Linked DNA regions of Schizosaccharomyces pombe. The gene in region 1 interacts genetically with each later gene. Each region holds a gene or a part of one and is shown in the gene's direction. Other genes may lie near its edges.

The links.
Region 2: of ecm33 (region 1) and knh4, extra expression of one rescues a mutant of the other (dosage rescue), as found in Schizosaccharomyces pombe (one study listed by BioGRID).

Annotation. Positions count from the first base shown.
Region 1 is NC_003424.3:1,564,580-1,576,563, reverse strand, and holds ecm33 (extracellular leucine-rich repeat domain, receptor L domain-like Ecm33), read left to right. Parts: upstream 1-4,974; 5' UTR 4,975-5,303; coding exon 5,304-6,569; 3' UTR 6,570-6,951; downstream 6,952-11,984. Other genes in the region: SCF complex, Cul4-RING and CLRC ubiquitin ligase ligase E3 subunit Rbx1, read right to left, coding at 536-543, 588-678, 742-891, 1,080-1,154; SPOM_SPAC1705.02 (uncharacterized protein), read right to left, coding at 7,261-7,348, 7,404-7,500, 7,695-7,701; Tf2-2 (retrotransposable element/transposon Tf2-type), read left to right, coding at 8,347-11,984.
Region 2 is NC_003423.3:1,961,272-1,973,305, forward strand, and holds knh4 (protein knh4), read left to right. Parts: upstream 1-9,335; 5' UTR 9,336-9,642; coding exon 9,643-10,596; 3' UTR 10,597-11,528; downstream 11,529-12,034.

The DNA of each region.
Region 1 (11,984 bases):
TCATAAAGCTGTTTGTTCTTATTTAAAAGTTAACTGAATTTGTGAATTGATTGGCAAGTATAGAAAATCCGTGCACTACTGAGCTTTTGTATCTCACCACTGACATTCTTCTCGAAAGCAATGATTCGCATTCTGTCATGCGATATGCAGCATAATGTCTGTATGCCTATTCAATTTTAACAATAGCACTTTAGAAGTATGCCATTTCTTTTGATGATTTAAGTAATGTTCTAATTCTTCAAGTGTATACAAAGTAGTGATATAATGTCTTAATTTATATGATGTGTAGTTAAAAACTGTCTGTAGGAAATTTTATTTGACAAGCAATAAAATAAATTGATATATTCGTCCACTATCTGAGTAATTGGAGTAAATAAATATAAATAACAATTCAAAGTCACATGGAAACTTAAACTAGCCACAAGTAGTCATGATTTTAGGAAATTTTAATTGATTCATGTCATTTCATTAATAAAACGCTCTGCTCCATTGAAATATTTTTACCAACAAAAAAGTAAGTACTTAATAAATGTTATTAATGACCTGAGATAAAGTTAGTAAAGTAGGCTCGTCTTAATATACCCTACCATAACGTTGGAACTCCCATTCACGATTGTCCAAAGGACAAACATTCCTAGTGTTTAACCATCTTGAGATGCAGTGAAAGTGAAATGCATGCTTTTGTATTTGTTAAAAACAGTCCTGAGCTAAGAATACGAAAGAAATCGAATTAAAACTTACATTACAAGTTCCCCATGCCACTGTGCACTCTTGAGCAGCAGCAGAATCGGTGTTAGCTTGACACTCAATACATAAGTCCATAATATGATTTCTGCAGATAGCACAGTTATCTACAACAATGTCCCATTGCCATAATGCTACAGCATTCCACTAAATTGAAGGTAAGCAATATGAATCAGAAGAACTCATAAAAAAAGCAAAGAGAGTAAACTAGTACTTAAGTGTATGCTTATTTTAAAATAGCAAATATATCTTTGGGTATTAATTTTCACAGTTTACTTTGCTTTATGGCAAATTTGATACACATGAAGAACATGATCATAAAAATAATGACGAACCTTTTTAATTTCAAATCGAGGAGGTTTTTGTTCAATTTCCACCTCCTTCTTGTCTATTTGCATTTCATCTTCCATTGTGATGAGTAAAATAGAGCAAAGCCGCTACTTCGTTTTAAGATGAGATGTTTAAGCGGTGTGATAAAGGGGGTTGAAAATTGCAGCTTCGCTAAGCAATACTCAAACATAAGATAATTTTTGGAGTAATGTAATAAATTTTGCTAAAACACAAGTATTTAATATAATAAATAATGGATCATGGATCTTTCAATCGCAAAATGCGTACTCAAAAAATGAAGGATGATTATTCATCTGCTGTTTCATGAGTGTTTAGCACTATATCTATTTAGCTACATTAAATTACTCAGTTTGTTTAAATGTGTAAACTTTTAATTCTATGTTACATGATGACAATACAAGTTTCTTAGATATTATTTGTATTATGTGTGCTCGTTAGACATCTATTGAATAAGTTTTGTATATAATATCGAAGTACTGAAGACGGTTTCCTACAAACGTTTCAACCAAAATTAGTAAATAGCCCTATTTATCTATAATATTGTACCTTCTCTAGCATATCAAATTGAACACATTCAGCGAATTTTTCTGAAGTAATAGAGCTATTTTTTATTATTGTATTTCATCCAAATATAAATACCTTGGAAGTGAAATATACAAGGGAAGTTAATTCCAAAATTGATTTATTTTTAACTTGTATTGACTCTGAAATTCAAGACTGATTGAAAAAAGCTTTATCCATACAATTAATAAATAAACCATCTCAATATAACAATCGTAGAACAAGATGCAGTTAATGTTTATTTTAGTCCAGCATATTCGTCTTCTGATTACAAAAGTTTTCAAAAGTAGGTTGCACTATTTGTTGTAAATGGTCTTTGCTAGTATGCAAAATTAATAATAGTTTACAAAACTTGAAAAATAATGAACACAAGAATATCATTTCTATAGATCGGGTGTATCTTTACTAGGATTTTAATTTCCGATTATACACAGCTGCTGCCTCCTGTGGCTCATTTGATTACTATATTATTGCGATCGTATAGTCATTTGTACTAAACAAACCTCGTATATGGCTTTTTTTTGTAAAAATTTCTACTAGTTTGACTGCTTATATTTTGCTAAAAATGTCTTTAAAATGATCGGCATCAAATTGTATGGTAATTTCGTTGAGTAAACATTCGTATCTACAGTGATTTCATCGTCAACATCGGATTTCCTTCAATTTTTGAAAGTTATCATCAAAGAGATTTAAATGATAGATGGAATATATTAAGCCGAAAAATCTGGTTTTCAAGTTTACATCTGTTAGCAAATTTTAAAAGGATCTACAGCTAAGTACCGTGCTAAGAGCATGCCAAGGGGTTTTGAGATATCTCGCTAAGTTTAAAACCAAAATACTGTGTAGCTATACAATGCACTAAAACTGGCAAAGTATAATAACGCGGAAGCTACGTTCAAACTATTGGAAATGTAACCTGCCTAACGAGACGCAAGGATATTTGCATTGGGGATTGTCAGCTTGAAGTCGAGCTGAATGAAATGCTAAGCTTAAAATCAAACAAATGAAATTTATAATTAACTATCTTTATGCAAGCCTGTGCATATTAAAAATCGACTAATACAAAAACAAGAAACAAATTGAACTTGTTAGTAAAACGAAAGAGAACGGTAGCGATACTTCGTTGAGGCAAGCATGTTTTGGAATAAGTAGTTTTTTAAAAGTTTGGAGCCTGTCTACAAACATTTTGCAACATGAAGAGATCATAGCCTACGGATCTTGAATTTGAGGAAAAAATGCTAATGTACTTTTACTTATTTACATCGCTCTGTCATTAATTTTGTCTTTTTTTTTTTTGTAAAAATACTCAATTCTCTAAAATATATATCCCCGTCAAATGCCAAAAGAGCAAACAAAATAAAATTGAATAAGTAAATAAATATAGCCTGTATGCAAGGATACGAAATTTTAAATAAATAAAAAAAAGCGCGGCTCAGATAAATTAAAGATATACTTTGTGTATTAAAAATCAATTTCTTTTATAATCGCAGCGATTAACTACTAACTCACGTCACACAAGAGAACAAATAAAAAAAATAAAAAAAAAATAAAAAGGTTCCAAATAGCAAAACAGTCTTAAATGAGTGCTTTACTCAATTTGTATAACGGGCATCTCCATCAGACTACAACGCCGCTTTTTACTTGAATATTTGGACGGTAATTATGATTACACTACGAATGTAAAAAATAGGCAAGTTACAGTAATCAAAGTTAAATTTTTAATATGAGTTGATGTGTAATCGCTCCTATAAGATTACTTCGAGATAGAAGGTAAAGGAATTTATAAAAACCATGACGGAACTAATCACCTTAAGATGCTTTTTAACAAGTACCCGAAATCTCTGGAGTTAATCATTTCAACTTTGTGTAATAAATGATGCAAGCATTCTACTGACTTAATATTCATATACATTCAACAGTCTAGCTTACAGTGCACATGTATAGCAAAAAAACATTTTATGTTTCAGCATACATTTTATTACCTTGGAGTACTAGCTTCTAAATACAATACATATTCTCCAATTAGGGCATTTATTCTAGATCAATATTTAAAATATCCACATTCATATTCTATTCCTAAATCATGCACAGTAGTCTAGAATTGTTCAACCTTCAACAATGATTAAATAATTTTCTGAAGCAAATCATCCTAGACAGTGGAAGATAATATAGCTTATTCACAAAAAAAATAAACATAAAATCAACTTAAAAATCATTTATGCCTTTCAACATTATTTCTGATTAAACTGTATTGCCAAAATAATTTTGTAGACTGTTGTTTGCTATTTCTTAAAATATTGAACAAATTTGAATAATCAAGTAGTTTTTTTCTCACTCAGTGCATCAAAAATGGGAAATATAAATTACTTAAGTTTTAAAGTAATAACTGGATGTCACACAAAGATGAAATACACAAAGGCCAAAATAATCATCGAAACTACAAGAAGTTAAAAAGTAACAGGTAAATGCTTCTGAAGTACAGTACAGTTCAGTCTAGTCAATCAGTTGAATACCGGTATGACCTTTGCAATCTTTTCTCCTTCAACTTGCTAAGCATATCCACTGCGCCTCTACTTCTCTACAGCACGGTAAATACTTTGTTTACATGACTAAATAAATCTGTTTACACTGCAGATGGACAGATCGTTGCTGCGGTAACGGTAATTGTCAGTAAACAAATGTCTGAAACCATTTACGGAAACGTAAATACCGTTGCATATGAGCGAAAAATAAACAAGATTAGCATAGCTGGAAGAAGCATTTTCTATACCAAATAATATTTATGATTTTCTGCTTTTTTCTAGTATAAAAAAATCCTACCTCTTCAGAGATCTGGTGACTGTTATTTTTCACTAAAACAAACAAGTGATGTCACGTTTAAAAGCCCGTGAATGTGACTTTTTAAGGGTCAAACACTGCGGTTTGTGTCTCTCCCTTTAAATGTTTATGCGATGAATAACCTTAAAACCAAAGCTGGAATACAAATGAAGTTTTGACAGAAAATACAGCATTGTTTACATTGAGTGTTTACAATTCTCAATCTGTAAAGAGTCGAACGCCTTGTTGTCATGCCAATGTGTTTAACGAGAGTCAAATTACTCGTAAACGTACAAGTTTAGCCAATAAACGGTCTTCAAAGTTTGGTCGCAAGCTCCTCGTTGGTGTTGTGGCCTAGCAACCAGCAATACACAATTACTCATTGTTTACAGTAAACATTGCAACGAAATTGCGCACCTCGTTGTCCCCCTTTTTATCTAACAAGTCACAATTCTTTGCATTTTCCGGGTATATATAGATGTCTTTTCCGCAACTCGCTTCATCCTCAGCGAACTACATTTGAGTTTTAAACACTCTTTTACTTCTTTATTCATTACCCACGCATTCATTTATAAAACATATCATATATATTACCCGTAATATATAGCATATACCTTTTATAAATACCCGCTATTCTGCATATCTTTTGTGGTCAATCTCTGTCTTTTTGATTATTACTACGTTTCCCCTTATAAACGCATTTTACATATTTGTCCTCTTTCTCTTTTGATTTAACAAATTTACCTTCATATTCCCTTTTTGCATCCTAAAAACTATCTTTCGTTATATTTTTCCAATCATATTTCTACATTATATAGTCTAAAGTCAATATGTTGTTCAAATCATTCGCTCTCACTCTTCTTTTCGCCGCAGCTCGCGTACAAGCTGCTTCCAACTGCTCCAGCGGCCCTTACAATATCTCCGCCCAAGGTACTCTTGACGAGCTTAACAGCTGTACTGTATTGAATGGTGATTTGTACATTTCTGATGCTGGTAACTCTGGCATCACCACCCTTACTGTTAATGGAATTGAGTCCGTTCAAGGTGATGTTGTGGTTTCTGATGGTCAATATTTGACCTCTCTTTCCTTCCCTTCTTTGAAAAACGTTTCTGGTGCTTTTAACGTTAACAACATGATCCGCATGAACAACCTTGCTACCCCTGAGCTCACTTCGGTTGGAAGCCTAAATCTTGCTGTTTTACCAAACTTACAGGAGCTTCAATTTAACGCTGGTCTTTCCGATTCTGATAGTGTCGTAATTGATGACACTCAACTTCAAGCTATTGACGGTATCAGTTTGGATTCCGTCACTACTTTCCAAGTAACCAACAATCGTTATATTCAGGAGATCACCATGGAGGGCCTCGAAAGTGCTCAAAATATCCAGATTTCCGCTAACTCTAAGGGTGTAAGCGTAAACTTCAGTAAACTTTCTAACGTTACCACTGCTACTTTTGATGGTATCAGCAACGTCTTTATTGGTAACTTGAAGAGTGCTGCTGGTAACTTGTATTTCTCTAACACTACTCTGGATAACATTTCGGTTCCTTACCTTACCGAAATCGGACAAAGTTTTGCTGTTTTGTACTCTCCTGAGCTTACTTCCCTCAACTTCCCTAACCTTACCACTGTTGGTGGTGGTTTCGTTATTAACGATACTGGTTTGACTTCTATTGATGGTTTCCCCGTCATCTCTGAAATTGGTGGTGGTTTAGTTCTTCTCGGTAACTTCTCAAGCATTGATATGCCTGATTTGAGTGATGTGAAGGGTGCTCTCACTGTCGAGACTAAGGCTACCAATTTCACTTGCCCTTGGTCCAATGATGACAGTGTTATTAAGGGTGATGATTTCACTTGCCAAGGTAGTGTTGCTACCATTTCTGCTACTAGTTCTTATGATTTGTCTTCCACTGTCTCTGCTACTAGTGGATCTGCCACATCTGCCACTGGTTCTGCTACCACCACTTCATACTCTTCTGATTCTTCTGCATCTTCCTCTTCCTCTTCCTCCCATGAAAGCTCAGCCGCTTCTAACGGCTTCACTGCTGGTGCTTTAGTTTTGGGATCTCTTTTGGTTGCTGCTCTTGCTATGTAAGTGTCGTCATGAACAATTTGTTACTTTTTTTATCGAAAGTATAGAAAATTAATATTTGAATGTTACCGATACTTATTTGGCGAGATGAGCTGGCTTATCTCTGGTGATGTGGGTTACTGAAATGTTTATTAATACAGGCCGTTTTATTTTCTTCTTTATAATCGGGTGTGATTAAACATATATCTTTAGAAGAGATTAACTTCTATATGATCTTAGAAAAGTGTTGAGAAGGTTTGATGTTCCTTTTCTTTAATTTGAGCTTTAAATTATTTATATGAGTTGCTCTTAGGCTATTTTCAAAGTTATTGATTTTGCCTTTTTTATAATTAGTCTATCGAATATTTGCATTTAGTATATCTTGAATTTGATTTTTTTAATTTTTAATACAAGGCGCGCGGTAGTTAGTAATAAAATAATTTGATTGGCAAAGATGAGACATAAGGCGTATGATATGCATAACCGAGAGTTAAGAAATTACGAGTAAATGATTAAGTAACTTAATGGGATGTTATTATAGATTGCAAGACTACCGAGTTTATTTACTCTTTACTTAGAAATATAGATTTTATTGTTTTTATCAAAATAGAGGTAAAATTGAAGAAAAATAACAGAATAAAGAGCCAATGTACTGTGGAAAAACACCACTTAAAAGGATGGAATAAACTGCCCTTTAACAAAATTTCGAATATAGTTATTTTTTTCCTTTTGAGCCACCGTTGGCTTCCGCTGCCTTGCGCTCATCAGCTGCACGTTGTTTAGCACGCATAATTTCAGCTTGACTTAAAATATTAGCTAATTGGTTTTTAAACAAAATCCTGATTCCATTCCACTTACGCTTCAAGACGTTTGGTAGGATCTCCGGCTTGTTTCTTTTTAGAAGCTTGAGACTTCTTTAAATTGCGAGCACGGTCAACATCACGCTGATTTCCACCTAGTAACATTAGTAATTACAAATTATAGATATAGTTTTAATTTTAATGAATATCAGAATGTGAAAAAGGCTAAAAGAATACTAAAAATCAATAAGCAAGTATAAAAGAGATAGTTCAACGCAGCTATTCCCTGCTGAGAGGGGGATAATAATTTTTAGAATTTCTTCTTCATTCTCAAAGGTTTAAAACTTACGAGACATCTTAGCAAAAATTGTATCATCAATCAAACTGCAACTCACACTTCTTATGAGGTAAAAAAGAAAAACGGGCAATTTATGGTGGTGACCATAGCTTAACGAAATATAGCATATATCGTTAATGTGAAATATTTGTCAGCAATACTACACTACGCTATAATACACTACGTTGAGTATCACTATATGTCACATGTTCTAATTATATATCGTACCATGTATGATACGATATGGAGATTGATCTTAATGATAATCTATTAAGATCAATATTATCTGAATACTATAAATAGAGCTACTGCTGAACCTCGTTCCTCAGTTCAGTTATGAGCTATATTAGTGATAGGTAACATTATAACCCAGTTAATACAATACCTATACTCAGTTGCTACTTATACAACCTGTGTATTGTAATATAATAGATCACAAGGAAAACTCACCGCAGTTCTACGTATCCTTAAATCAGATACCAAACTGCGTAGCTTACAATAACTGAACTCTTGTGATCTACAATTAACTCCTTTTAGGAAAAAGGAATTATTGAATAAATATATATCATAAATATATATATTTCTCTCCTTCTGGGTTCAAAGGAGAAAGAACTTTGGAAGGACTGTTATCCCTTTTGAAATCTCCCAAAGGGAAACATATACAATGTCCTACGCAAATTATCGTTATATGAAAGCAAGAGCAAAACGATGGAGACCAGAGAATTTGGATGGAATTCAAACATCAGACGAACATTTAATAAACCTTTTTGCAAAAATATTATCGAAGCATGTACCAGAGATAGGGAAATTCGATCCTAATAAGGATGTTGAAAGTTACATTTCAAAACTTGATCAACACTTTACTGAATACCCTTCATTATTCCCAAATGAGCATACTAAAAGACAGTATACATTGAATCACCTAGAAGAATTAGAGCAACAATTCGCTGAACGCATGTTTTCTGAGAATGGAAGTCTTACATGGCAAGAATTACTCAGACAAACAGGGAAAGTACAAGGATCCAACAAAGGTGATCGTTTAACTAAAACATTTGAAGGTTTTAGAAATCAATTGGACAAAGTTCAATTTATAAGGAAACTCATGTCAAAAGCAAATGTTGATGATTTCCATACTCGCTTGTTTATATTATGGATGCTGCCATATTCCTTAAGGAAATTAAAGGAAAGAAATTACTGGAAATCAGAAATCAGTGAAATTTATGACTTTTTAGAGGACAAAAGAACAGCCTCGTATGGTAAAACTCACAAGCGTTTTCAACTGCAAAATAAAAATCTAGGAAAAGAGTCCCTTTCAAAGAAAAATAACACCACTAATAGCAGAAACCTGAGGAAGACAAATGTTTCGAGAATAGAATACTCATCTAACAAATTCCTAAATCATACTAGGAAACGTTACGAAATGGTATTACAAGCTGAACTTCCAGACTTCAAGTGCTCAATACCCTGTCTAATCGATACGGGCGCTCAAGCAAATATTATAACAGAAGAAACTGTTCGAGCACATAAACTGCCTACCAGACCCTGGTCAAAAAGTGTGATATATGGTGGAGTTTATCCAAATAAGATTAATCGCAAAACAATAAAACTTAACATAAGTCTAAATGGAATATCAATCAAAACAGAATTCTTGGTTGTAAAGAAATTTTCGCATCCAGCTGCTATCTCCTTCACAACATTATATGACAATAACATTGAAATATCTAGCAGTAAACACACGCTCTCTCAAATGAACAAAGTTTCAAATATTGTCAAGGAACCTGAGTTACCAGATATCTATAAAGAATTCAAAGACATTACTGCAGAAACCAATACGGAAAAGCTACCAAAGCCAATAAAAGGGTTAGAATTTGAAGTTGAACTAACTCAAGAAAACTACAGATTACCTATCAGAAATTACCCGCTACCACCGGGAAAAATGCAAGCTATGAATGATGAAATTAATCAAGGATTAAAAAGTGGAATTATACGAGAATCTAAAGCCATTAACGCCTGTCCAGTAATGTTCGTTCCGAAAAAGGAAGGCACCTTGAGAATGGTGGTTGACTACAAACCTTTAAATAAGTATGTCAAACCCAATATATATCCGTTACCACTTATTGAACAATTACTTGCTAAAATACAAGGTTCTACAATTTTTACTAAACTTGACCTCAAAAGTGCCTATCACTTGATACGAGTAAGAAAAGGAGATGAACATAAACTTGCTTTTCGCTGTCCTCGTGGAGTTTTTGAATATCTAGTAATGCCTTATGGCATATCTACAGCTCCAGCACATTTTCAATACTTTATCAATACAATACTTGGTGAAGCCAAAGAATCACATGTAGTATGTTATATGGATGATATTTTAATTCATTCAAAATCGGAATCTGAACATGTAAAACATGTTAAAGACGTTCTACAGAAATTGAAAAATGCGAACTTAATTATCAATCAAGCAAAATGTGAATTTCACCAATCACAAGTAAAATTTATAGGGTATCACATTTCGGAAAAAGGATTTACGCCTTGTCAAGAAAATATAGACAAAGTCTTACAATGGAAGCAACCTAAGAATCGTAAAGAATTACGACAATTTCTAGGTTCTGTCAATTATCTTAGGAAATTCATTCCAAAGACATCACAATTAACACATCCACTCAATAATCTTTTGAAAAAGGATGTACGCTGGAAATGGACACCAACACAAACCCAAGCGATAGAAAACATTAAACAATGTTTAGTTTCTCCTCCGGTGCTACGACACTTTGATTTCAGTAAAAAGATTCTACTGGAAACTGATGCTTCAGATGTCGCTGTAGGAGCCGTATTGTCTCAAAAACATGATGATGATAAATACTATCCTGTTGGATACTATTCAGCAAAGATGTCTAAAGCACAATTAAATTATAGCGTATCGGACAAAGAAATGCTTGCAATCATTAAGTCTCTCAAACATTGGAGACACTATTTAGAATCCACTATCGAACCTTTCAAAATTTTAACAGACCATCGAAACTTAATTGGTCGCATTACTAACGAATCCGAGCCTGAAAACAAACGTTTAGCTCGTTGGCAATTATTTTTACAAGACTTCAACTTTGAAATTAACTACAGACCTGGATCAGCAAATCACATAGCTGATGCCTTATCCAGAATTGTTGACGAAACAGAACCAATTCCAAAAGATTCAGAAGACAATAGTATCAACTTTGTTAATCAAATCTCGATAACCGATGATTTTAAAAACCAAGTGGTTACAGAATATACGAATGATACAAAATTGTTGAATTTACTAAACAATGAAGACAAACGAGTGGAAGAGAATATCCAACTCAAAGATGGCTTACTAATTAACAGTAAAGACCAAATCTTATTACCTAATGATACTCAGCTGACTAGGACAATTATTAAAAAGTATCATGAAGAAGGTAAATTGATTCATCCAGGCATTGAACTTCTTACAAACATTATATTACGTAGATTTACGTGGAAAGGAATAAGAAAACAAATACAAGAATATGTACAGAACTGCCATACATGTCAAATAAACAAATCTAGGAATCATAAACCTTATGGACCTTTACAACCAATTCCCCCATCAGAAAGACCTTGGGAATCTTTATCAATGGATTTTATTACAGCTTTACCAGAATCATCTGGTTATAATGCACTTTTCGTGGTAGTTGACCGATTTTCAAAAATGGCAATCTTAGTACCTTGTACGAAATCCATTACAGCAGAGCAAACAGCTCGAATGTTTGATCAACGAGTTATTGCTTATTTCGGCAATCCAAAAGAAATCATTGCAGATAATGATCATATTTTTACTTCCCAAACGTGGAAAGATTTCGCACATAAATATAATTTCGTTATGAAATTTTCGTTACCATACAGACCACAAACTGATGGACAAACTGAGCGTACAAACCAAACTGTGGAGAAATTACTAAGATGTGTATGTAGCACACATCCAAATACATGGGTAGATCATATATCCCTAGTGCAACAATCTTACAACAATGCGATACATTCAGCAACTCAAATGACACCTTTTGAGATAGTACATCGCTATTCACCAGCTTTATCACCTTTAGAGTTACCTAGCTTTAGTGACAAAACTGACGAAAACTCTCAGGAAACGATCCAAGTATTTCAAACAGTTAAAGAACACTTGAATACAAACAACATAAAGATGAAAAAGTATTTCGATATGAAAATACAAGAAATTGAAGAATTTCAACCTGGAGACCTAGTTATGGTCAAAAGAACGAAAACAGGTTTTCTTCATAAATCCAATAA
Region 2 (12,034 bases), on another chromosome or scaffold:
CTGCAAAGAAAGCAGGTCCTTTAAAATTAATTCTTTCGACAGACGTTCTACACCTGTACTATAGGAAAGAAAACTCAAAGGACATGTCGAAACAGTTTCACGATTATAATCGTACAGAGCTTCTGGTAGAATTGTTCCGTCTGTTAACAAAAGGAAACGAATTTGGGAGTCGGATGTTTTAGCCATATCACAAGCAAGCATAAAAAGGTTATGAGTATGAACACCTAATCCATAAGCGGTAAACATGATAACATCTTCTGGAGGTTCGGCAGTCTCTAGTTTTTCTAAAAAATCGCTCCTGTATTCTTGAAATTTCTGGGACGTAGTGGTTGAAGCACGAGGATCTAGTGAGGGCAAATGGAAACTTTCATGGAAAAGGGGAATGCGTCTCATTACGGTGCTACAGGCAAGAAGTAAACCAACGATTAATAAAAGCTTTTTCATGGTGCGTTTCCTAATTAATGGATACATCATATATGTAACTGAATTTAACAATCTTTTGCAATAGTAAGCCCAAAGCGCACCCTTGTTAGCAATAACAACCATGAAGCGATAACTTAAGTTCCGTAAGAGAAAATAAGAAAGGAGAATGAAGAAAGAAAAAAAAAACGAAAGGACCAATTTTAAATATGTACAGCACCAAGATGAGTCCTGTCCGAAAGTAAAAAAACCACTTCGAGGACACACGTAAACAAGGGTAATCTAAAAACAAAGAATAGGCTCGTCTATTGAGCGATACTATCCAATCCAAACACTTTTAAAAGGATTATTAAGAAAATATACAATTTACGATCCCTTTGTTTCGTATTAACACTTCGTATCGATCAAATAAAAAATCCTTACTATTCTTTCAAACAAAGAACGTACTGTATCACATTCAATGTTACACTGATGGAGTTATTATCTTATTTGAACAGCAGACATAAAAAATTCGAAACTTTTCAAAAAGAGGAAGGAAAGAAATCGATACGAAAGGTAAAAAATAGTGGAAATCAGGCGGACTCCAAACGCCAGATACAAACACGGATATTAGTAATATTAAGCAGGGAAACCGAGCTGGATGTTTATTCCTTAGCTATATAAAACTAATATTTAATATTAAGCCTTTATTACCACTTTACCAAGCCTAAGAGAGAAAACTCGGTGTTTATTGGAAAAGTGGTACTAACAAGTGTGGGAAGTATGTTTGACAGATTCATTACATTAGAGGCAGTCAGCCAAGCGTATAAATAAGGGGTATGCACTTGTCCGAATATCACGCTTTACAATTGAAAAGTTACAAATTCAAGTTTTTACTAAAAAGAATTCTTTCCAATCGAGTTGGATGGAAACGTGTTATGTGCGAGTCAGTCTGTGTATACTACATGAATCAACCGCATTGGCGTTGAAGCGAAAGGAAAAAGAGTACTATAATATTATATTTGCGACTGAAGTTTAAGAGATAATTGATTTTGATTATACGTAAAAAGAGCAAGCTGTTGTAGTGAGAGGAAGAACAACTTTTAAACAGACGTAAATAAGATTCTTTCTGTAAGGTTAGCATATTTAAAACAGTAATTTTAATTTTTTAACCTTAATTAGCTTTTCATTCTGTCTTTGTGGGTTTATTTGCCAAGTGCATTAGCCAGCACAATGTATTTAAACAGACTGGTCTTTTGATCAAAAGTCATTGCAATATGATCAAAACCGTCGAGACTTCATAACGGCTATTAAAAGCAACTCGCTTAAAAAAAAACAGATGAATAAATTTCAAATTGTCATTTTTCATACGAACGACATACTTCTTGACGCAAAGCAATGTCAGTGTGCATAGAAGACATATTTTGAAGATGGAGAAAGTTTCAAAATTTGGAACCCTCAATTTTACATATTTTTACATTTTTGAGTAAGATTTTCTGGTCTTTAGAATGAATCCCACCCGTGTTTGAATGAACGAGTTCAGATCAATAATGAAACACAATGTTAAATTTTGGATTAATTGCGAAATAACAGATAACCTTGTACCTATAGGAAATTCATAAAAGATTTATATCCTTTCTCGTTATAGGTGATACTATTTCCATATGTTGAAAGCTTTGAATTTTCATCTTTAAGTATTTGCGTCTATCCACATTAGCAATGTCAATTTTTCCTTTATATGTAAATATTTTTACCTCGATTTAATGCATTTAGTAGTACTTCATATGCTGTAGCACCTTTCAGGATAATAGTTCACACTATGACATTCAAATATTTACCCACCGAAAATATTTTTCGCTGAACAGTGTTATAAATAATTTGTTAAATAAATAAAAAGAAAAAAAAGATGGTTAAAAAAATAGATTAAACTGGCAATACAGACGCTGGTGGAGAATATCTCATGGAAGTATATTAACAAAACTTGCAGATGCTACATTACTCAATTCATGACTGGTTGATATAAAGTCAATTATTGACAAGTCAAACTTCAATTTCTTCTTATACGCAGTACATTAAATCAGGTACGCGCAATTAAAGTTACTAGCTGTTCATTTTTGTTAACTTTATATACGCTATTATGATTTCAGAATTTGAGCTGCAATAATAGATTGTTCATTATCTATGTTTTATTACGGTATACAAATCTTGAATAGGCGACACAGTCAATTCAAATTGAAATTTTATCTCAATTGAGTTTTATAACAAATGTTGAAACCAAAAAAAAAAGGTATTTAATCAAACGAACTGTGAAACTCTCAAAAAAATTAAGAATTAGGCAGATTGCACTTTGTTTTATAGGAAACTTGTTACACTGGGTTTTTGTATTGTTTTCGCCTAATCCAATGCTGAATTTTTATGATCTTAACAGCTTCCTTTTTTCTTTTTTTTTTTTTTATTTACACTCGATCCTCGTCTTTTCGCTGTTTCATCAATCCAACAGATTAGCCAATTATTGTATAATATCTTTATATTTTATTTTTTGATCTGCCTTTTTATTTTGAATAGAACAATAAAAGTAAGGAAAATATCAAAAAAAAAACAGAAAAGAAGTAAGAAATAGTTTAGAGCTTTTAACGAAACCTCGACAGCTACGTGATTAATCATTTTCATATGAGTAAGCATGCAATGCAATGCAAACATCAGCGGATTGTTTATATATGTATATCCATATATAAATGTAAAAAAGTAAATAAAATCTAGAGATATGAGTGGATTAAGAAAGAAAAAACCGAGGAAATTAAAAAACAACTTTAGTAACAATTACATTCCTTAAAAAACGCTGATTATTCTTAACGATTTAGCATTAGTTAAACAAATCTCAAAAATTAACTTTTACATTGAGGTTGAATCTAGCTTGTGTAAGAGATTCCAAGGTTACTGTTTGTATCATCACATGAGTCTAAAAAATTGCTTTAATAACTTATGTAACTCTTAGCCGTCTAAGGCTTTCTTTACCTTACACTCAACACATCCTCTGAAATTCATAAACCAATTTATTTGATCCTATAACGAAGCGCTTGGCAAGTTTGCGTAGCTTTCGCCAACGCTGCTACGTTCATTTTCGTTGTATATATTACCATAACAGCCATACGATCTGTATACGCTTTAAGGATTAGTAAACCAAAGAGAATAGAAGGACTATAATGTCAGCAATACTACACTACGCTATAATACACTACGTTGAGTATCACTATATGTCACATGTTCTAATTATATATCGTACCATGTATGATACGATATGGAGATTGATCTTAATGATAATCTATTAAGATCAATATTATCTGAATACTATAAATAGAGCTACTGCTGAACCTCGTTCCTCAGTTCAGTTATGAGCTATATTAGTGATAGGTAACATTATAACCCAGTTAATACAATACCTATACTCAGTTGCTACTTATACAACCTGTGTATTGTAATATAATAGATCACAAGGAAAGCTCACCGCAGTTCTACGTATCCTTAAATCAGATACCAAACTGCGTAGCTTACAATAACTGAACTCTTGTGATCTACAATTAACTCCTTTTAGGAAAAAGGAATTATTGAATAAATATATATCATAAATATATATATTTCTCTCCTTCTGGGTTCAAAGGAGAAAGAACTTTGGAAGGACTGTTATCCCTTTTGAAATCTCCCAAAGGGAAACATATACAATGTCCTACGCAAATTATCGTTATATGAAAGCAAGAGCAAAACGATGGAGACCAGAGAATTTGGATGGAATTCAAACATCAGACGAACATTTAATAAACCTTTTTGCAAAAATATTATCGAAGCATGTACCAGAGATAGGGAAATTCGATCCTAATAAGGATGTTGAAAGTTACATTTCAAAACTTGATCAACACTTTACTGAATACCCTTCATTATTCCCAAATGAGCATACTAAAAGACAGTATACATTGAATCACCTAGAAGAATTAGAGCAACAATTCGCTGAACGCATGTTTTCTGAGAATGGAAGTCTTACATGGCAAGAATTACTCAGACAAACAGGGAAAGTACAAGGATCCAACAAAGGTGATCGTTTAACTAAAACATTTGAAGGTTTTAGAAATCAATTGGACAAAGTTCAATTTATAAGGAAACTCATGTCAAAAGCAAATGTTGATGATTTCCATACTCGCTTGTTTATATTATGGATGCTGCCATATTCCTTAAGGAAATTAAAGGAAAGAAATTACTGGAAATCAGAAATCAGTGAAATTTATGACTTTTTAGAGGACAAAAGAACAGCTTCGTATGGTAAAATTCACAAGCGTTTTCAACTGCAAAATAAAAATCTAGGAAAAGAGTCCCTTTCAAAGAAAAATAACACCACTAATAGCAGAAACCTGAGGAAGACAAATGTTTCGAGAATAGAATACTCATCTAACAAATTCCTAAATCATACTAGGAAACGTTACGAAATGGTATTACAAGCTGAACTTCCAGACTTCAAGTGCTCAATACCCTGTCTAATCGATACGGGCGCTCAAGCAAATATTATAACAGAAGAAACTGTTCGAGCACATAAACTGCCTACCAGACCCTGGTCAAAAAGTGTGATATATGGTGGAGTTTATCCAAATAAGATTAATCGCAAAACAATAAAACTTAACATAAGTCTAAATGGAATATCAATCAAAACAGAATTCTTGGTTGTAAAGAAATTTTCGCATCCAGCTGCTATCTCCTTCACAACATTATATGACAATAACATTGAAATATCTAGCAGTAAACACACGCTCTCTCAAATGAACAAAGTTTCAAATATTGTCAAGGAACCTGAGTTACCAGATATCTATAAAGAATTCAAAGACATTACTGCAGAAACCAATACGGAAAAGCTACCAAAGCCAATAAAAGGGTTAGAATTTGAAGTTGAACTAACTCAAGAAAACTACAGATTACCTATCAGAAATTACCCGCTACCACCGGGAAAAATGCAAGCTATGAATGATGAAATTAATCAAGGATTAAAAAGTGGAATTATACGAGAATCTAAAGCCATTAACGCCTGTCCAGTAATGTTCGTTCCGAAAAAGGAAGGCACCTTGAGAATGGTGGTTGACTACAAACCTTTAAATAAGTATGTCAAACCCAATATATATCCGTTACCACTTATTGAACAATTACTTGCTAAAATACAAGGTTCTACAATTTTTACTAAACTTGACCTCAAAAGTGCCTATCACTTGATACGAGTAAGAAAAGGAGATGAACATAAACTTGCTTTTCGCTGTCCTCGTGGAGTTTTTGAATATCTAGTAATGCCTTATGGCATATCTACAGCTCCAGCACATTTTCAATACTTTATCAATACAATACTTGGTGAAGCCAAAGAATCACATGTAGTATGTTATATGGATGATATTTTAATTCATTCAAAATCGGAATCTGAACATGTAAAACATGTTAAAGACGTTCTACAGAAATTGAAAAATGCGAACTTAATTATCAATCAAGCAAAATGTGAATTTCACCAATCACAAGTAAAATTTATAGGGTATCACATTTCGGAAAAAGGATTTACGCCTTGTCAAGAAAATATAGACAAAGTCTTACAATGGAAGCAACCTAAGAATCGTAAAGAATTACGACAATTTCTAGGTTCTGTCAATTATCTTAGGAAATTCATTCCAAAGACATCACAATTAACACATCCACTCAATAATCTTTTGAAAAAGGATGTACGCTGGAAATGGACACCAACACAAACCCAAGCGATAGAAAACATTAAACAATGTTTAGTTTCTCTCCGGTGCTACGACACTTTGATTTCAGTAAAAAGATTCTACTGGAAACTGATGCTTCAGATGTCGCTGTAGGAGCCGTATTGTCTCAAAAACATGATGATGATAAATACTATCCTGTTGGATACTATTCAGCAAAGATGTCTAAAGCACAATTAAATTATAGCGTATCGGACAAAGAAATGCTTGCAATCATTAAGTCTCTCAAACATTGGAGACACTATTTAGAATCCACTATCGAACCTTTCAAAATTTTAACAGACCATCGAAACTTAATTGGTCGCATTACTAACGAATCCGAGCCTGAAAACAAACGTTTAGCTCGTTGGCAATTATTTTTACAAGACTTCAACTTTGAAATTAACTACAGACCTGGATCAGCAAATCACATAGCTGATGCCTTATCCAGAATTGTTGACGAAACAGAACCAATTCCAAAAGATTCAGAAGACAATAGTATCAACTTTGTTAATCAAATCTCGATAACCGATGATTTTAAAAACCAAGTGGTTACAGAATATACGAATGATACAAAATTGTTGAATTTACTAAACAATGAAGACAAACGAGTGGAAGAGAATATCCAACTCAAAGATGGCTTACTAATTAACAGTAAAGACCAAATCTTATTACCTAATGATACTCAGCTGACTAGGACAATTATTAAAAAGTATCATGAAGAAGGTAAATTGATTCATCCAGGCATTGAACTTCTTACAAACATTATATTACGTAGATTTACGTGGAAAGGAATAAGAAAACAAATACAAGAATATGTACAGAACTGCCATACATGTCAAATAAACAAATCTAGGAATCATAAACCTTATGGACCTTTACAACCAATTCCCCCATCAGAAAGACCTTGGGAATCTTTATCAATGGATTTTATTACAGCTTTACCAGAATCATCTGGTTATAATGCACTTTTCGTGGTAGTTGACCGATTTTCAAAAATGGCAATCTTAGTACCTTGTACGAAATCCATTACAGCAGAGCAAACAGCTCGAATGTTTGATCAACGAGTTATTGCTTATTTCGGCAATCCAAAAGAAATCATTGCAGATAATGATCATATTTTTACTTCCCAAACGTGGAAAGATTTCGCACATAAATATAATTTCGTTATGAAATTTTCGTTACCATACAGACCACAAACTGATGGACAAACTGAGCGTACAAACCAAACTGTGGAGAAATTACTAAGATGTGTATGTAGCACACATCCGAATACATGGGTAGATCATATATCCCTAGTGCAACAATCTTACAACAATGCGATACATTCAGCAACTCAAATGACACCTTTTGAGATAGTACATCGCTATTCACCAGCTTTATCACCTTTAGAGTTACCTAGCTTTAGTGACAAAACTGACGAAAACTCTCAGGAAACGATCCAAGTATTTCAAACAGTTAAAGAACACTTGAATACAAACAACATAAAGATGAAAAAGTATTTCGATATGAAAATACAAGAAATTGAAGAATTTCAACCTGGAGACCTAGTTATGGTCAAAAGAACGAAAACAGGTTTTCTTCATAAATCCAATAAATTAGCACCTAGTTTTGCAGGACCGTTCTATGTGTTACAGAAGTCGGGTCCAAACAACTATGAATTGGATCTTCCAGATTCAATCAAGCACATGTTTTCATCTACTTTTCATGTTTCTCACCTAGAAAAGTATCGACATAATTCAGAACTCAATTACGCTACCATTGATGAGTCTGATATTGGAACAATTCTTCATATCCTAGAACATAAAAACAGAGAACAAGTACTCTACTTAAATGTCAAGTACATTTCGAATCTAAATCCGAGTACTATTATGTCAGGATGGACTACATTAGCTACAGCGCTACAAGCGGACAAAGCAATTGTCAATGATTATATTAAAAACAATAATCTAAATATCTGAGAACATATGACTTATCCTCAGATTTACATAGAAAATCTTGGGGAGGGCAATGTCAGCAATACTACACTACGCTATAATACACTACGTTGAGTATCACTATATGTCACATGTTCTAATTATATATCGTACCATGTATGATACGATATGGAGATTGATCTTAATGATAATCTATTAAGATCAATATTATCTGAATACTATAAATAGAGCTACTGCTGAACCTCGTTCCTCAGTTCAGTTATGAGCTATATTAGTGATAGGTAACATTATAACCCAGTTAATACAATACCTATACTCAGTTGCTACTTATACAACCTGTGTATTGTAATATAATAGATCACAAGGAAAGCTCACCGCAGTTCTACGTATCCTTAAATCAGATACCAAACTGCGTAGCTTACATATAAACTGGTTTAGCAGTATGCGGTAAAAATTCTAATATTACTTACAATCCTGTCTTATACTTCGTTATTAGCAAAAGGAATTTATTAGTATTCTAGTAAATGGTAGTATATCATGTCGATAGTTTAGCAACAGAGAAGTAGAGTTCCGTAGCTTGATAACGCCACGCTCATTGGTGTTTCTAGTCCAGCAATGAATATTGCTGGAAAAGATCAGTTACGTAAACCGGAATTGAAGTGATGTGTTAGAGAATAGAATTGCTGGTATACCACAGAACGGGCTGTGTATAGCACAGTACGTTACACACCATTATACACCTTAAAACCTTATCCCTCCAATTCACTATGTTGTTCGCTGAGCTAGCCAGGATGGTTGCGATTGTTTTGTCATAATTTAATTTCGTGATTTTTGCAAACAAATGACCAATTTCTTCTTGCTTTCTCTAATTTTAAAATTGAATGGAGTGATACATCACCAAAATATTCCATCGTCTTCTCTCACTTGTTTCCCTTCCTTTTCCCATAATGTCTGAGATTTGTTTACATTTGAATGAATCTTTGTTTACATCTGAGCGAATCTTTATTTACATTAAGTGATGGAGTGTATACGGGTTTACCCGGTTCCCAGTTAGTTACCCTGACAACGCGTTCTCATCGTTACCTTAGCGGACTCGTTACTTACGTTGCGAGGTGGCTCAGGTGCAAGAAAGCCACCTCCCTGACCCACTCACGACGCTAAATCCGTGTCACATGACCATTCGTTACTTGAGGGGTTTTTCAAATATAAAAGGAAAGGATGCCGCAGCAAATTTCTACTCAGACCCAACTACGAGTATTCATTTTTGATATTTTTACTTGTGAGTTTAATTTCCGTCGTTGGACTTGAAGCTCCTTTATCTGTCTTTATATATATTCACCGATCACTAATTTCGTTCGATCCTTTAGCAAAATTTCATTCGTTCGAAAACGGAAGATTTTTTCATTAACACCTTTATTTATCTTTCATTTCTTTGGTAATAAAATTTCTCATTGATTGCATTCATCTATCTATCTACATCCCATCCATCCATATTATCTGTCTTTTTTTCCAACTTTCACATACTTACATAATATCATCTATCCATCATGAAGTTGTCTTTCATTTTATCTACTCTCGTCGCCGGCGCTTTGGCATACAATGAATTCTCTGCCCCTGGACCTAATGCCGTCCTTCAAGAGGGTGGTGGTGTAAACACTGTTTCTTGGAGCAATTTGACTTCTAGCACTGTCACTTTGACTTTGTACCGCGGTGGTAACTCTGCACTTACTCCTATTGAGACCATTGCTTCTGACATTGACAACACCGGTACTTATCTCTGGAACATTGCTACTTACTACGAGGCTGCTGATGATTACTTGCTTGGTCTTAGCTTTGACGGTGGTGAGACTTATTCTCAATACTTTACTTTGCAAGCTTGCTCTACTTGTACTATCTCCACTTCTAGCCTTAGCTACAGTGGTACCATTTCTTCTACCTCGATCGCTCCCTCTATGATTGGTACTCGTACTTCTTCCTCTTACTTTATCACTTCCTCCTCCTCTACTCCCTCCTCTTCTTCCTCTTCCTCTAGCTCCTCTCCCTCTAGCTCTTCTTCCAAGTCCAGCTCCAGCTCCAAGTCTAGCTCTTCCTCCAGCTCCAGCTCCAAGTCTAGCTCTTCTTCCAGCTCTAGCTCCAAGTCCAGCTCTTCTTCCAGCTCTAGCTCCAAGTCTAGTGCTTCTCCTAGCTCTTCCAAGTCTTCTTCCAAATTCTCTTCTTCTAGCTTTATTACCTCTACCACTCCAGCCAGTTCTTCTAGTAGCGGTGCTATTGTTTCTAACGCCAAGACTGCTAGCACTGACGACTCTAGCTCTGCCAGCTCTGCCACTTCCAGTGTATCCAGCGTTGTCAGCTCTGCTAGCTCCGCTCTCTCTGCATCTGCTTCATCGGCCTCTGCTTCTGTTTCTAGCTCCGCCTCTTCTGATGCTTCCCCTGCTTTGAAGACTGGCATCAATGCATTGGTTGCTGTTGGTGTTGTTTCTGCTATTGCCTTGTTTCTTTAATTGTGGTATCCTAGAGGTATGATGAATAGCTGGTAGGGTTTAAAATAAATTTGCTTTTCTCTCTCTTTAGCCCTATCTTTAAATTACAAATTTTTTTCTTTATTTCATTCATCTAATCACCACTTACTTTTATTCATCACAATTTTGACATGACGTATCTTTTTTTTGATATTTTTGGTCGTCGTTTTCATTAGTATCAACTTTTTTTTATATTTTTTTGCATTTCATTTTGTCTCATATTCAATTTTTTTTCAACTTTGATCATCATTGCTTTGCCAGTGTGTTGTGTTTATTGTTTGTAAATCTCTAAAACTCTTTTCGATGATGGTATTTCTCCAATGGTGTACTGATGATGGTAAAATTTAACATTTATGTGACATGGTTCTCTTCTGTAAATGTTTTGCAGCGTACTATTGTTTTATCATTTGGAAAGTATGGTGTGCTTGCATGAAGTCTGGAGGTTGTACAAATCTTTTTGTTTTGGGGGCATCTGGATGTTTGTCGCACTCGTATTTTGTACGGTGACAATTTCGATAAGTCTTTTATCATCTGTGCCCGATATGTTGGAAATGTTGAATAATTGGATATCAATGTGCAATTACAGTATAAGGAAGACTTTGAATTCTGTTTGTCTATAAAGTTGCGTTTGACTGCAAAACATTGAATATTTACAGTCGGTTTACTTTGTATACAAAAATGTGTAATCCTTTTACTTTACGAATTTACGTTCGCTTGTCTTACTGAATCTATCTATAGCTTGGACCACGACGGGTGCTTTGAAGGGTTGGCTGCTAATAATTCTTCTTTGATCTAATCCAGTATAACTTCCTATTTCGGCATTCAAAAAGTCTATAGAGTTCTGTAATATCGCGAATTGGTTCATCTTGGCAAGACAAATTGCTCATTACTTTGTAAATCAATATAATTCAAACACTGTGTCTTTCATAAAATGACTTTTTTGCATTCGCATAAGTGTATTGATCTATCTTTCTTTCTTTTTTAGCTTTATAATAAAACAATGAATACTGCATGATATAAGCGTTACACAATTCTTTTTCCCTACTGCTGCAATAAGTCTTTTAAAGAAGTTGGATTTAAGCCAACAATAGACAGGTATATCTGTGTATGTTGAGTCAATAAAAACTAAAAAGCCTGTTTATCTGTAGTACTATAACTTACATTGTTTTTCTGGTTTGAATATATATTAACGAACTATTCTATTAGTAATGTATGCTCACAACGAGTACACGTCGCTCTTTACGTTCCATAAAAGGTACTTGATTCTTCAGCTAACCAGCGCTAGACTTTTTTATTAGTATATCAGAGGAGTGAATTTTTGAAACTTGTGCACTCGACATTATTCTCTAACAACACTTTATTATAATTATTGAGAACCGTTTAATGGTTGTATAGCGTACACATTTGTAAATATAGATAA